Rhinolophus ferrumequinum: one gene and its partner. The protein of the gene in region 2 interacts with the protein of the main gene of each other region in a pairwise test. Links are inferred from orthologs where the notes say so. Each region holds a gene or a part of one and is shown on either strand. Other genes may lie near its edges.

Region 1 (8,427 bases), on a different chromosome or scaffold from region 2:
TGACAATTCTTTGATGTTCGTTAAATCTGCTCTATACAACATTAGGGTAGTTGTTATTCATCTTTTAACATTGAAGATATATGAAACAGGATTCTAGTAATGGGGTGAAATCTAATTCTTATAAATATAAATATATAAAAATTCATGTAGGGTTTATTCTCAAAGTTAACTTCATGTAATCTAAGATGAAAGGGCTTATTAAGTAAATTAATAGTATAAATAAGACAGTAAGAAAAATATTTTAGATGTTTAAAGAAAACATTGGTTTAATCATGAGTAGTATACCAAATATGTGGACCTAAATGATACTCTAAAAAAGTTCATATCTCTCAGTAAAGTCAGCTGGTTACAAACCTCTATTCAATATGCTTTTTATAGCATTGTTCCACTTATTGAATGTATCTGAAGTACAGTAAGAACTGAATTATATTTTATAGCAATCTGTCTTTTAGACTTGTTGCTAATTCAGACCATTCCTCTCCTAATTAGATTTTAAAGCATCAAGAATAATATACTTGAAAAATAAAATAGCACTATTCACATGCATTGATGTTTAGACAGACTTCTGACTCCACTAATCATCAAATTTCAGAGATCACTTCTAACTCTAGTCTTCTATAACATTACTGTGTTTAACTGAAATATGCCTTTTGTTTCTTAGGTCTATAAATTTTTTATAAAGAATAAAATGGTCAGTGAAATCCAAGAGGGAGGACCTCCTTACGTAAATAATTTAAGACATTCATTCTTTATAATTCAGTACATAGTATCTTGGGCCCTGATTAACCTCATAATACTATGACCAAAATATTTTTTCAAAATGAAAAGTTTTTTATAATTATAAAAATGAATCTTGAACATTGTTTAAAAAAGAAAGTGAAAAACACTCAAAAGTCTTCTGCCTAGTGAGAAGCAATGTGACCATATTTCCAGGTCAACAAATATGTATCTGTATTATCATATTTAAGGTTTACATATCCACTGTACATATATACGATAATTTAACTAGTCCCCTACTGATGAAAATTTAGGTTGTTTCCAATGTTAGCTGTGAATTATTCTGCAAATATCTCACTTGTATACTTCCTGGGGCAAAATTAACAACAAAATGTGCAGTTAAGCTCTGGATTTCCTAGCATTAAACAGCCTTTTAGAAAGATTATGTGAATTTATGGGCTGAACCACATGAATTGTCAATATTTGTCTGGTTTTGAACTACAAAAAGGTAATTTTATGTGGCAAACCTAATAGATTCCTATTATTTCCCTACACTCTTGCTTAATAATTGTCAAATATTTAGAATGACATTCATGAAGATCCTGGGACATAAAAATCTCTTTTATTTTGTGACAAACAGCACTAGGAATTTTCATGCAGACAGGAAGTCATTTACATGGCACTGTCAATGTCATTATGAACATGTGAATCATTTGCATGCTGACATAGTGGAAAATGCTCTAGACCAGATGTCAGGCTCCTTGGGTTCTTGTCCTGACTCTGTGACTGAGTTGTTGCGGCAATGTCCCCTGGCTGTACTCATGGGACTTCACGAAGAGACTAGGAAGGGTCAGTTTTAATACTCTCTGTATGTAAAATTCTCACCCTTCTTTGTATACTAGTGGAACTGGGAAAACCAGACCCTGTGTTCCCGTCTTCTATGCTTCCGTTAGAGATTCTTTCATTGTTCCTAGTAATTTTGAAGACATTTCATATGGAAAACAATGTGAATGCTAAATACGTCTGTACCTCCCAGAACTTTTAAGTACTGCACACCTGAGGCAAGTCTCAAGTAGTACTGCTGGCTTCCATTTAGAAGGGAGAATTTGAGTGAGTTAAGTCTTGAGAAAGACTTCTGAATTCATGGCATCTGCTTCTGCCATGCTTTCTAATTTTTATGAAAAGCATCCACTTCAAAATGTACAGTATTGTATCTGAAGTGATGACCAAACTTTCTGATAGTCCTTGCTCCTAACTGTTGAGTGATGGAAGGTCTCTTTAAAAAACATAATTTTAATGTCTATTAGTATATGCAAACAGAAAACTCCCCCCCCACCCCCATCCTTCCTCACATTAAGAAAGCAGCAAAGTTCACTGTCCTAAATTTTAAAATGTCATTTGTCAAGTTATTGGAAAAATAAAAAATTTTAGCCTGAATATACCATGGTAACTTTGTATGGTAGTAATACTAATTCGGACAAAAGCAAATCAATATGTGTGGCTACTATCCAATAATTAACCTAAAAGATGTGGGTACTGAGGAGATGAAGGGATCTCTAAGTTACTTAATCAAAAAATATTCACAAAATATTACCAGATACCTACCATTAGGTTCCATCAACACTGTATTTCTATTTACTTGACAATCGCTATTAGAATACCTCATTATCAAGTTAAATCCAACAATGTAAATTAATTTTCCCTCACCTCCTAATGCCACATTCTCTCAGGCACTCGGGTTTCAAAACCTGGCGTCCTTCTATCTCATTATCCATGAGCTATTCAGTTACCAATTCCTGTCCATTTCTCTTTTAAAAATGTTTTTATAACTCATGCTTTCTTCCCATCCCTTATGTCAACACACTGGTCCATATTCTTGTGACCCCTCAAGTCTGTCAGGGGGATCGAGGTGGATAGGATGTCCAATCACGCTGACTTCAAATTCTTCTGCTTGACTTTCTAGGTCTTCCGTAGCCTGAACCCACATTACCTACCCAGTACTCCTGCTCAGCCTCACTTCTTTGCAAATAGATCGTGTTCCTTTTCGGTAGTCTGCCCTGGCAAGTGCTTCTCTCTCCTAAAACTTCTTTACCTACCCAATCATCTATTTTTTTAAAAGTTCCTACAAGGTCTTTAGTCTAAATCTCTATCTCACAATTCAGCACCTATTCATTTTACTGTTTTAATCTTCACCATTGTTTCAAGGGTATCAGTGTTTGTATTTACTGATTATACATACTTTGAGAAGTCCACTTATGGTTTTTCCATACACCCTACATCAAACAGACCAGTGTTGTCCAGAGTATTCACTAAATCCTGCACTCCAATGAATTATTTCTATTAAACCATCTCAATCTAGTCACTACCCATTTGCCTGGATTACTTTATTGAATTATTAAATTAATAATTTACTGAGGAATTTTTTTTTTCCAAATTTATGTCATCCTCAATATTAAAAAGCCACTGAGCTAAGCAGGCTATTCAGGATTGGAGATTGGCCCAACTTTATGCTTACCTTCTCCGTTTTCCAAACACATAAATGCTGTCTGTGTTGTGGTGATGGGGATCTGAAAAATCCTTGTTTTGCCTTTTCCAAATGCAAAAAACGCAAGGGCCTTATTTCTTAAATTTGCCTGTGAACCCAGAACTTCCAACTACACTTTTACAACTTTGTTCACACGGCCCCATCTGCCAGTTGTATATTTTTTTAAGTTAGGCTTACTGTTGCCATCTTTCATTCTGCCCTTACGAGATTTATATTAGATTTTTAAAATATTTATTGAAATGTTTCGAGAGATATTCCAGAGACACTCTAAAGCTGTTTTAAGATGGGTGTTAAAAGAGGTGTCCCTGGAGTTACTGGCCAAAACTCCAAGGTTTTGTTTTTAAATTCTTTTCAGTTGTATGACAAACTTCAATATTCTAAAAGCACTTAACTCATTTTCATCTCAAAACAATGCACCAAACTCTTTAAGTCGCAAAAGCGTGCTCACTTCCAGGGTCCATGCAGTTTCGTGGATCCACAATAAGGATTTCGTGCTTCCTCCCCGCGCAATAGGTTTTGTGGGAGGGAGAACACTTTTCAACCTTTTCCACGGATGGCTCTTAAAAACTCGCAGCTGGGATGCAGGCGCGCTGGAACGTCCCAGTGTGACGTCCGCCCGCCCGCGCCAGCCAATGTCGGCGGGGAAGCCTGCGGGGCTCCCGCGCTCCCCGCGGGCGCGGCCTAGGGGCTTCGAAGTCTCTCTGCCAGATTTGGGAAATTCTGTGGGTGTGAGCCCCCAGGCCAAACAATCTGTGGGCTGGCTGGCGCGTCCTTCTGCGGCAGGAAACACAAAGCGAGGTGCAGGAACTAAAACTCCAGATGGAACGGCCGGCGCTGGCTCAGCGAGAACAGCATCTCAAGGCCGCCTAACATTTCGATGTATCGCTGTCACGTACACTTCCGCGCAAGCTCCAAGCTCTCAACCCGGCACCGGGGCGGGACTTCCGGTAGGCCAAGCTTTCCGGTAGGGGCGGGGCCTCCGGTTGAGCGCAGGCCACAGTGCAAAGGCTGTGGATCCTAATTCCTCAAAGCACGTGGCGCTCACTTTTGGTGTGAGGGCTTCTGAGTGGTTTGCGAGGCGGCCATCTGCGGAGAGGCTGTTGGGTCGGCCGCACATAGAACCGTCTCTGTGCGGTTCCTGACCCATCGCTGGGCGGGCGGGCGGCCTTCGGTGGCGCTGAAACTGCGCTCTCGGTCATGGACTACCGGCGGCTGCTGATGAGTCGGGTAGTGCCCGGGCAGTTCGACGACGCGGATTCCTCCGACAGGTAGACGGCGGTGGAGTACACCGACTTTGTTGGGATTTTGCTCTCTCTTCCGCCACCGCTCCGTCGGGGAGTTAACACTTGTTTGTGGTTTAGGGGGAGACTGGTAATTCATCACTCGGGGCCTCTTTTTACAGCGTTTTGCGTCTTCGTCCATCCCAGCAGTGACTGTCGTCCCAGTTTACGGCAATCAATGACAGCCACTTGTCAAGGTAGTCCAGGGCTCCCAGGTTGGTTGGTTAGCATCGCTGAGAGGCAGAGATGGGGATAGCGATTGGGAAACAGGTTTTTGAGCTTTAATTACATTCAGTGTTCAAAAAATATGTGAGCACCTAATGTGTGCCAGGTTCTGCCCTCGGCGCTGGAGCTAGTGATGAACAAGACAAACTAAGTCCCTACTGTCATTGAATTTTACTTTCTACTTGGGAGGGTGGGTAGGCAATTGAGTACATAGCGGTATTTAAAAAACAAAAACCAGATAATAATATATACTGTGCAGATAATTAAAATCAGTTGATAGGCCAAGTTATGATTTGGTCAGGAAGGGGTTAAGTCCAGAACTGAACAAGAATAATGGGCTAACCTAGGGAAGAGCAGAGAGAAGAGCCATTCAGGAAGAGGGGACAGCACTTGCAAAGTCCCAGCAGTGAGATCCCTCTTGGCTGTAAAAGGAAGATTTAGAGGTAATTGTGCCTAGAGCACTGCAGAGGTACTTGAGAAGATTAGTGGGTAAACAATATATAAGTGAGAAGGGGCCAGATCGTATAGAGCCTTACAAATGATGGTAAGGAACTGAGATATTATTCTAGGTCTTATAGAAAGCCATAGGAAGGATTTTAGCAGGGAAATGACATCTGATTTACGATTTAAAGGAATTACTCTGCTATGGAGAGGATGGTTTTGGAGGGCAAGAGTGGAAGCCGTTCAAAAGTAATGAAGTAATTCAGTTCAAAGATGGTGAGAGTTAGAGATAGGACCATAGGGATATGTTTTGGAGGTAGAAGTGACAGTTTGGTGGTAGATTGCATGTGAGGTATGAAACAAAAGGAATTAAGGATAACTTTTACTTGAAAGCAGAATGAACCAGAATTATTTTGGAATTCCCCCCCCCCAAAAAAAATACGGTTTTTACTTTATGTTTACATTAAGGTTTCATTACATGGCCATTTTATTAAGCAATTGGAGATTTTTAGTAAATATATGTTGATGGCTTTCGATGTGTCAGATATAGTGTTAGTTGGTAGGGATATGTTAGTAAACCACTCTGACACAGAGATTCGCTCTAGCAGGGGAAACATATTAAATAATTAGACAAATGATTTGTATTAGAAAGTAGTACAAAGGAGAAGTGGGTGAAGAATAGGGTAGACTTCCCTGAGCAAGTGATAGTAAGCTAATACTGGAAGGATAAGTAGGATTTAGTCAGAGAAATGAGAAGGGCATTCCAGATTTATGTTTACAGCTGAGTATGCAAAAGACCTTAGGGAAGAAGTTAAGGGAAAAAAGAAACAGCCTATGTGACTGGTGCATAGTTAATGGTAATGAGTGTACACTGGTTTATTATCCATCACTGGATATTATAAAGGTAATCCAATAGATGTTGCCTCCGCCCTCGCCCCCCACCCCCACCCCGGCCTTGGGACTTTGGGCAATTTCTGGAGACATTTTTGTTTGTCACAACTGGGGATGGTAATACACTAGTGGCATCTGGTAGGTGGAGGCTAGAGATGCTGCTAAAAATCCTATAAGGTACAAGACAACCTCCCACAACAAAGAATTGTCCACCGAGGTTGAGAAGCCCTAGTACAATTGAAGGCATAACTTTAACATGCCACTCTAGGTTATTGGCAAATGAATGATCAATTTATGGATTATGTTTATAAAATCCTAGTAAATAGCAGCTGCCTAATGTTTGTTCTCTTCCCACCCATGTCCATGGAGATTTGGAGTCCTGTAAGCCATGGCTAATTAATAAGTCAGGATTGGGGCGCCGGTTAGCTCAGTTGGTTAGAACGCGGTGCTCTTAACAACAAGGTTGCGGGTTCCATCCCTACATGGGCCTTTGTAAGCTGCGCCCTCCACAACTAGATTGAAACAACTACTTGACTTGGAACTGATGGGTCCTGGAAAAACACACTTAAAAAAAAAATTCAGGATTGATCATCTGAATTTACTTAGACTCACATCTGACTTTTTAAGCTGGTAGTGCATATTATCAATTGTTTTATATGGTTTCTGACCTTGTTCTCCATATGAGAGGTCAAAACTAGTAGTACCTCTGTTGAATCTGACCTGCACACATATTTCGTTTGGCATGCACAGTATTTTGTTAAAATTGAATATGCCAGTTAACGGGGAGATTTCACACAAAAATCCAGATTTCTGGCTCTTGAAAAACTAAGAAGATATGGTAACACTGGGTCTGAATTCTCATATGGCAAAAACAGACCCTATCGTGCTCTCTCTACTTGGGGCTTGTCTCTAGGTTTGACAATCCCCACTTCTGTTTAATTATACCCAGCCTACTTCTCTCATTCGTGGTGCTTATAGTCACCATTCCTTGTGTAACACAAATCTATAATAGAGCTCCTTTTGTTGTAAAGTGGTGTTGAGTTCAAGGTAAGGCTGCTTTAGACTTATTCCCAAGTTTTGTCAGAAAATTTTTTTCCCCCTCTTAACACAGCTCTGAATGGTTTTCGTAGAGTCAGGTCTGGCGTACTGATCAGAGTTCAGTGCATTCAGCAGAGACAGTAACAATATAAATTCTGACTTCATGAATGCAGAGGTGGATTTAACCTGATACACCTCTTTAACAGGACCTGGAGAATAAGCAAACAACAAGTGGAACAACTCTGAAAAACAGGAGAACTTGGTGTTATGATGGAGTTTATTGGGAGATATGTTGAAAGGGAAACGTTTAGATTTATTGGCATAGATTAAGCTATTATGTCATAAATAAATTCATACGTAAGTCCAATTAGAGTATGTATAAACACACTAAAACATTGTTATTTCTAGTGAAAACATTGACTTGAAGACAATCAAAGAGGAAGATGGTGTTCTGTTTGAAGATCTTCAAAATAATGAGAAGATGGGTGAAGGTGAGATAGAAGAGGAGGAGGAGGAGGAGGAGGAGGAAGAAGATTATGATGATGATGATGGTTGGGACTGGGATGATGGAGTTGGAAAACTCACCAAGGGTTGTATGTCGATTGGAAGGAGTAACCCACAGGTATTTTATAAATGATTCTGTACATCTTTATGTTGTTTGCTTATGTCTTCTTGTATAAAGGGACTTTTTGTAGTTCTGGAATTGAGTAACAAAGATTTTCTTCAGGTTATAAGTAAATTTTAAAAGTTACTTAAATTGTCATAAGATAATGCACTTAAAAATCTGCATATGAAAAGACACAAACAGGCAGTTTTCTACAAATGGTTAAGAAACATAGAGAAAAAGTTCAAGTTTATTAGTAATTAAAGAAATGCAGATTAACTATGTAGAGATGGATGCCATTTTTTCCGCCTCTGAAACTAACATAGACACAAAATATATAACTGATGGTTCACTAAATACATACAGTTATTTGGAGGATAAACTGGTATGTGATAAAAGCTTTAAAAGCTTACAAAATAAACACTTTGACTCAGCAAGTCTTTTAGGAGTGTACCAAGACTTAGTTACAAGAATGATCCTCCAGTATTGTTTCTAGTAGAGAAATGTTGGAAACAACGTTGACTAAATTTACCATGGGGTTGGTTTGTATAATGGGATATTATGCAGCCATAAAATGGGTTACAGTGGAAGACTATATTCATGACATGGAGATATGTTCATGATCTACCATCTTGGACCACGTGCTAAGCACAAGGTAACAAGCCATGTAGAGCCTGCTCGCACTG
Region 2 (7,436 bases):
TTTTTCAAGGAATCTAGTTGGAAAACCTTTTAAAGTTTGTTGGCAATGAAAGGATTAAAAGCCGGGGAATTAAATAACTGTCTCCACCTCCTAAACGCCAGAAGTCCAATTTACCAAAAGTTTCAAAGCAACAACTCATGACCTCTCTACCGGAGCACCGCACGGCATAGCCTATGAGAAAGGGGCCCGTGATTTCCTCGTTTAAACAAGGATGCTCATTTTATTCACTTGCCCTAAGAAGATCGCCAGACCGCCTGTCCAGACTTTAGAACTCGCGGGTTCCAACTTCGCCAAATGTCGCTCCCCTCCCTCTGCCGCACAGATCGAGTGATTTGTCAGCTCCCGCCCCTACTCTTTTATGTCCACCTCCAGTTACACATCCCTGCATCCCGGAGCGATGCTTACAAGCCTTCCCGGCAGCTTCTCTGCCAGGGATTTTGGAGGGATGTACAAAGTTCCACGTGCCTCTGTCCATACAGCGCCCTCCCTCCCGCCGCACTTACACCTGAACTTGTCTCCAGCACTGCGGACACCCGGCTGGCACATTCTTTCGGAGAGGAAGGGCAGCACTTTCCTCCCGCGCCTCGGGCTATCCGTAGAGTCTATATATGGTGGGGCGGGGGGCGCGGAATTCTCTACTTTGGATTGGTGTGTTTGTTTTAAATCGGGTGTGGGGGGTGGGCTTCGCCAACTACACACACACACACACACACACACACACACACACACACACACGAGCGCGCGCGCGCGCGCGCTCGCCCTGCCCTCCCGGCTCACGGCCGTCTGGTCCCGGCTACAGCTCCCCCTTCCTTCCTAGAGCACCACCAGCTCGCCTTACTCGCTCAGTCCCCGGTTGCCACTGCCGTCGCCGCCGCTGCCGCCGCCGCTGCTGGCACTGCTGGGGCTGACGCTCACGGCCCCGGGCTCCGCTGGGCGCCTGTCTTTCTTTCTCTCCCTCTCCCCCAGCCCCGGATTGATTGATGACCAACGGCGGCCAATAGCTCTGACACCGCGCCATCCTCGCAGAGGCATCGTAGCCCCACGCCCCCGACGTCAGCCTCCCGGGCGCGTTGGCATCTCCGAACCCTCAGAGCGGAGCCCGCGCCCGGAGCCGCCGCGGTCGCCTCCCGGCTCTCCGCCCGGGAGCAGCCGGGCTGCTTCCCTGGAACGGCAGAGAAAGGAAGGGAGGGAGCCAGCGAGGGTTGAAAGGGGGTGTGGAGGCCACGGATCCCACCCCCCTTGGAAATCTTTTCTTTCACTTAAAGTTTTGTTTGTGTTTTCCACCCTGACCTGTTTGTGTTTGTTTGCAGCATCTCAAATCAAGTACACATTTTTCATGACCTGCATTTGCACTTAATTTGGGATTTGTTGAAGGGGAGGTAAATGTGCTCTAAATCTACCCCCAATAGGGCATCCTTAATTTCTTTTCTTGCTGTTAGATTCTACCCTCCTCCCCAATCTCCAGGGGGGAAAATGCCCCCTTCACCTCCTAGGCCGCAAAACCCTGGAATTCAAAGGCTTCACAAAGATAACCCTGTTACATGTAAATACCAAAGAACTCCTGCTTCTCTCCAGAAGAAATCGGCCGCAAGGGTTACTTTTTCTCGCTGCTCGTATCCCCGCCGCCCAGCCGGAGTCTCTAGCTCGCTCCGTAGGCTACGATCGTGAAGACCCGAGACCGCAGGAGAGAGCGAGGTCTGGGCGCGGGGACAGGGTCAGAAAAGCCCGGCGCGAGAGCCGCGCGCGAGCGCGGGCGGCCCCGGGGGCGGCCGTGGAGCGCAGCCCCAGCACAAAGCTGCGCGGCGCCTTCCCGGCCACCGCACCTCTCTCCGGCCGCCGCGGGCGCCTGGGGCTCGGGCCAACACAATGCACCCGGGCCTAGGCCGGGGCGGCTCGAACACATAACCCCGGGACTTTCTAGTAAACAGCTCGCCGTGCCCTCGTCCCAACCCCCATTCCCGCCACTTGGCTTTTGCCGCTGCCCCTCGCCGACACCCTCTCCTCCGCTCCTAAGAAATCCCGGCGGAGGAGGGGGCGGGGATGTGGAGACCCCGAGAGGTCGGGGGCCGAGGACTGGGGGGAGGGGAGAAGAGCAGAAGGGCAAGATGGGGAGTGGGAGGGAGATAGCACCTAAAAAAGAATTAGCTTTCGCTCGGGGGGTAGAAAATAAGCCCTCCTCGGGTTCCGAATTGTTGGGGAAGTGCCCGCTCGTGCGAATGTCAGGGACATCGGGGCAGCCGCGGTCCGCAGCCAGGGAGCCCCCCGCACGCGCCTGTGACAAGGCACCTCTCACCCGGGCTCCGCTTTGTGTGTGTGCATTTTTTTCCCTTCCTCTCGCGCTCGGCACCGGGCGCCCGGCCTCCTCCTCCCCCTCCCCCGCCCTCCGCCTCCTTTCCCGGGGCGGATTACCTTTCCCGGGCTGCGCTCCGGGTCCCGGGGATGCCTTCAGCGCCCGGCAAGCAGGCGATCCATCGCGGAGCCGGCGGGAGGCGCGCCGGGGGCGCGCGGGGCTGGCGAGGGGCGCGGGTGGGCCAGAACCTTCGACCTCGGAGGTCCCGCGGCGGGCTGGGGCGGGGGGCCGGGGGCGCGGCGTGAGAAGGAGGCGGGGGGGAGAAAAGACGAGAGCAACCTCGATCTGTGGAGAGAGCGAGCGAGGGGGCGAGGAGAGGGAGCGAGGGCGCGGCGAGCCGGAGGGAGCGTGAGCGGTGCAGTGACAGGGACCGCCACTGGGGTCAAAGGAGCACAGCTCCAGGAAGCCAGGCGGCCGAAGCGCCGCTCCTTGCGCGCTCCCCAGCAGGACCCCGCGCCCCGGCGCGTTGCTCCTGCAGCCCCGGCCCACTCGAACCCCCGCCGGCGCCCCGAGGCCCCTGGGTTGCAAGAGGAGGAGGGAACTGAGGGCGAGGCCGGCAGCCTGCTGGTGCTCCCGGGTCAAGCAGGCGGCAGGAAGCTGAGCTGCAAGTTCATCATCATGAGTGTGATCAGCGTAAAAATGATAGGGGACCGGGGAGGGGGTGCTACGGAGCCCCAGGACAATAAAGGGAGTTTTCCCTCCAAATGGGCGTCTTCTGAAAAAGAGAATACCCAGCCCCCCCAACCACCCCCTTACCCCAACCCACCGACCTGTCAGGCGCTGTATGAAGTCCTGGCACAGCTCCAGGGCGCAAAGCTCGTGGCTGGAGCAGGGCAAGGGGCTGGGGCACTCAGCTCAGACCAAAAAAGGCGACCCTGGGTTCCCTCCCATCTGCTGAGCTTAGGCTTTCCTGGGGGAGAGCTCTGCTCCCTTTTCTTAAGCCTTTCAACTCACCAGATACACACACACACACACACACACACACACACACACACACCCTTTTCTTTCTGTAATGTTGTTCCTGAGAAAGAAAAGGCCAACCCAGCTGATAATTTCTTTCACCTCCATGAATTATGTACGGCAGGTTTAGGATAGGGAGGTGAGGAGAGGCAGACTCTAACTGTTTTCATTTTGTCTTTGGGGCACATTTCCCCAAAAGATAAGCCCTTCAAAAACGTTTTAGAAATCAAAGTTAGTTCCCTTTTCTCTGCTACTTTGGATAATGGGGGGGGGGAAAGGTTTTCAGAATTGTATGCAAACGACATACGCAAAGGGAACTACACTGAAATGCTAGAGGACAGAAGACTAGGAAGAGAAGGCTTTTAGAAAACTTGGTTGGCAAGGCTTCCTGTGAAAGATGAGGTGGCCCTGTGATGTTATGCCATTGTCAGAACTGAAGGATTTGGACGGCAACCAGATCTAATTCCTTTCCAGGAGTCAGACTCAAAGATCTAGGCATTCTCCAAAGGAAAATCCAATGGATGTGTTTGTGAGTGAGAAGTGTGCTAAGTATACTATGTGACAACTGACTAGACATCCTGGCTGAAATTATATCTCCTAAAAATAAAAAGGAGCCATTTCAACTTGATCTGTGGCCTCCGTGCTGAGACTAATTGGTTTCCAGGGTCTGAGGAGGAAGGGAGAGAGGCTGGTAGGAGCCCCTATAAAAAAAAAAAGATCAAACGGAATTCACTTGAAAATATTTCCCTTTTACAATAGGCTTTCCTGGCACTTGAATTTTAAGTAACCTATCTCTTATGCCTGGGCTGAAATGAAGGGGGAAATGGTTTTGCTAATGTATTTATTTTGTTGTACAGTATGCCCAGAGTGTCGGTACTTGTTAAATGGATTGGGATCAAGGGACGGTGACTACCCTTGCCCAGCACAAATCACAGCAAGTGGCATTGACATTAAAGAATGCCAAAGATGGGGTGGGAATATCTTTTTATTTTGTTTTCCAGCCCAGCAGCAAACACTGACTAGAATCATGTTTTTGAAGAAATGTTTGGTTTTGTTCCCCTTTTTCTATGAATTAGTTAGCAGCATACTTCTCTTAATCTAAATGGGTTGAGTTTTTAGACTGATTTGGGATGATTTAATCAGTCCTCCTCTCCCCGCCACCCTTCAAAAACAAACAAACAAAATTCTGCACCGGTCAAATAACTTCTGTGGTTTTCTAACTTCTGTTCTAAAAAGTAACAGGCAGTCAATCAATACATTCATACTAGTTTGTACATGATCCTAAATCTATGTGCACAGACAGTAAATAATAACGTGGCACATTTTGCAGGATATATAATGCTATAAAAAATCAAGCAAGTGATCCTTTACAAAGTTGACGAAAATTTGTATATCATTTTGCTCACTGGGGAAAAATTGAGGCACAAAAAAGCTTAAAATTGTAACTTGTACTGAAGGAAGAAGTAACTCAGCCTCTACAGGGTCCCTACTGATCAATTATACACTGACAGTGGCAGTGACCAAGCTGTATGAGGGTTCTGAAATTCTATTTCCATTAGGTTACCAAAAGAAAGAAGCTGGAGAAATATAAGTGAATTTAAATGGTAAATCAGAAACAAAAGGAATTCACTTTTCAAATAATTCTCATTACATGGATTTGAACATATTGCATTTTATTAAATCATATTCTCTACCAATATAGCTACCTACACTAAAAGCTTGTTTTAAAATGATTGGATGTGAACCATGTCTGTCCCCTGACATCAGCTTTGAAACATTGAGCCTCATTATATCAAATTTTAAATGTTATACGCTGGGACTTTTTATTTTTTTAAAGATAAGTGAGCCTGTGAGCTCCATTTTTTGTTATTGTTGTTAAATTCAATTTTTATTGCTTATAATGGAAAGCAGAAGAAGGATAAAAACCAAATGTTAAGTTTATGATTGCCTCTATGTAAATACTACAAATTTTTTTTTCTTTAATGGAATGTAAATCTGGACCCTTTCTCCAGTGATTTCATAGAAGGACCTGGCAAATATGATTCCTGATAGCCTGCTGCAATCTTTTAAAAATATCTTTTCAGAATGCGTTTTGGGAAGAAAATGAGAGAGGAACATGAGAGAACTTTACGTGGAAGCTTGGAAAGTGAATGTTGTGTCCTTTGAAAGATTAATACTTTATTTGGACTTGGCTTTTATTCTCCCTGTAACAGGTTTTTCAGTAATTCAGGGATACTTTGTGTATAACTTAAAATTTGATTCAATCTTGTGGTTCTTAAAAAAACAAAGTCATTGAAACTATTACATTTCACTAAGTAATTTCAGTGAAATGAAATTATATATCCCAATCTAATTTAGAGACAGCTAGGAACAAACAGCAGCTATTTTACCTATTGTTTTTCTTTAAATTGTCTGCATTTTTATCATTTTCCAGAAAAGGCTAAGATATATATTATGAAAAATCAGAGCCTTTTAATGGAACTATTATTATGACGCTATTAGGAAATAATCTGAGCCAACAAGCACCTTTATTCTAAATTCCTACAGTTTTTAATTTTTTGATTTGTTTAAAATGTTTTCATTGTACCTCTTTCAAGTTTAAGAACTATACCCTATATTCCTTTGTGTCCTTCATTCTTATGTGCTATGCACATAGTAGAAACTTGGAAATACTTGTTAAACAATTGTATGAGTCAATAAGTGAGGAAGTGAGTAAGAGAATGCATGAGTGAATGAGGCAACTACACAATGAAGGAAAATCCATACTAGATATACAGGAACAGAAGTGATGTCATGAGGCCAGTGTCAGAGGGTAAGACTAAAGACTTTCCATGGAGTTCAAATAGCACATTTAGCAGGGTTTGCTAATGCCTTTAGAAATATGAAAAAATACATAAGACTGTTTCCGAAGTTGATTTTCTCATTGAGAAACTGAAGATTGTTATGTATCACATCCATTTAAAGTCACCTTTTTTTTAAAATGCAGTAGGATGATAAAAAAAAAAAATCCAGAGTAAAATTTATATCTTAAAATTTACAGGAAAAATGTACCAAGATATAGACTTAAAAAAAAAAACAAAACTGTATGATTAACATGATCTTTTTTGAAGTCCTCAAAATAAATATATAAATCACGTTTTTAGCCCTTTGTATTTAAAATTTCCTGTTGGTTAAATAAAAATGTTTATGGCTAAAGAAGATTCAGGAAGCACTAGAACTGATAAATTTTATTTCATAAAATAAATTATATAGGTATCATCTTAGAAAGACTAAATTTGATCCAGCTTTGCCAGCAACTTAAAAACTACAGAGTGAAAATATCAAAATTATGCAAAATTCACTATTTCTTACCATACTTACTAACCAATATCTAGTACATATCAAAAAAATCAGACAAGTATTATTTATGTAATAATAATTTTAATAATTTTTAAAATCTGAATGAGATGCTAAGCATATGTTAGTGTGTTTTCCATCCTAACAGACTCGCATGATCTGTGTTATAAATTAATATAGGCTGAGTTTTTCTCCATATCATGGTTCCAACTCTGGAAAAGTGATAGAATTTAGTGGTACTTGGGATAGACTTGTCATGGTGGAAGAACATGCTCATTGTCGTAAAAGCCAAAGTAATCTCTTTTGAAATATGGGAAGTGTGGAAAACCCATAATAACCTGATTTAAAAAAATGTTGTGGGAGTTTTCAAATTTAATAATTCAATTTGACAAGTTAGTATAAGATATATCAATATTTTGAGTAAGCAGTATATAATGTAATTTTCCTTTTCAGCAAAAATAAATGAATGAATACATTTTCTAAAAAATATATAAATAAAATGAGTTTGAGAGACCAGCAGAACCTAAAACCCAATTTTCTCTATATTATTTAATGTGATGGTTCTATTATTCAACAAATATTTTTTTAAGCTCTGCTCTGTGCCAGGCAGAGTACTTAAACCATACTGATGGTATAATGATGAAAAAAGCAGAGTTGTCCTTCACATTATGAAGTTTGTAATCTCATGAACCTTGGGAGAGACTGACTTTAAATAATCACACAAAGAAATAAAAGTTATATTTATGAAAAGGAGGGGCCCGTGGTGCAAAGAAAACACACAACAGAGAGA

What was found.
Region 1: the proteins of MPPED2 (region 2) and CAGE1 interact in binary tests that used the Homo sapiens proteins (3 or more experiments, as listed by UniProt). The two-hybrid records come from large-scale screens. The link is inferred for Rhinolophus ferrumequinum from reciprocal best matches to the Homo sapiens genes MPPED2 and CAGE1.

What each region holds. Positions count from the first base shown.
Region 1 is NC_046292.1:86,549,013-86,557,439, reverse strand, and holds the start of CAGE1 (cancer-associated gene 1 protein), read right to left. Parts: upstream 3,372-8,427; 5' UTR 3,233-3,371; intron 1-3,232. Other genes in the region: RIOK1 (serine/threonine-protein kinase RIO1), read left to right, coding at 4,460-4,530, 7,546-7,759.
Region 2 is NC_046294.1:26,508,777-26,516,212, reverse strand, and holds the start of MPPED2 (metallophosphoesterase MPPED2), read right to left. Parts: upstream 3,260-7,436; 5' UTR 3,121-3,259; intron 2,891-3,120; exon of another isoform or gene 2,410-2,890; intron 1,693-2,409; exon of another isoform or gene 1,552-1,692; intron 1,056-1,551; exon of another isoform or gene 839-1,055; intron 622-838; exon of another isoform or gene 504-621; intron 1-503. UniProt on the Homo sapiens protein: Displays low metallophosphoesterase activity (in vitro). May play a role in the development of the nervous system.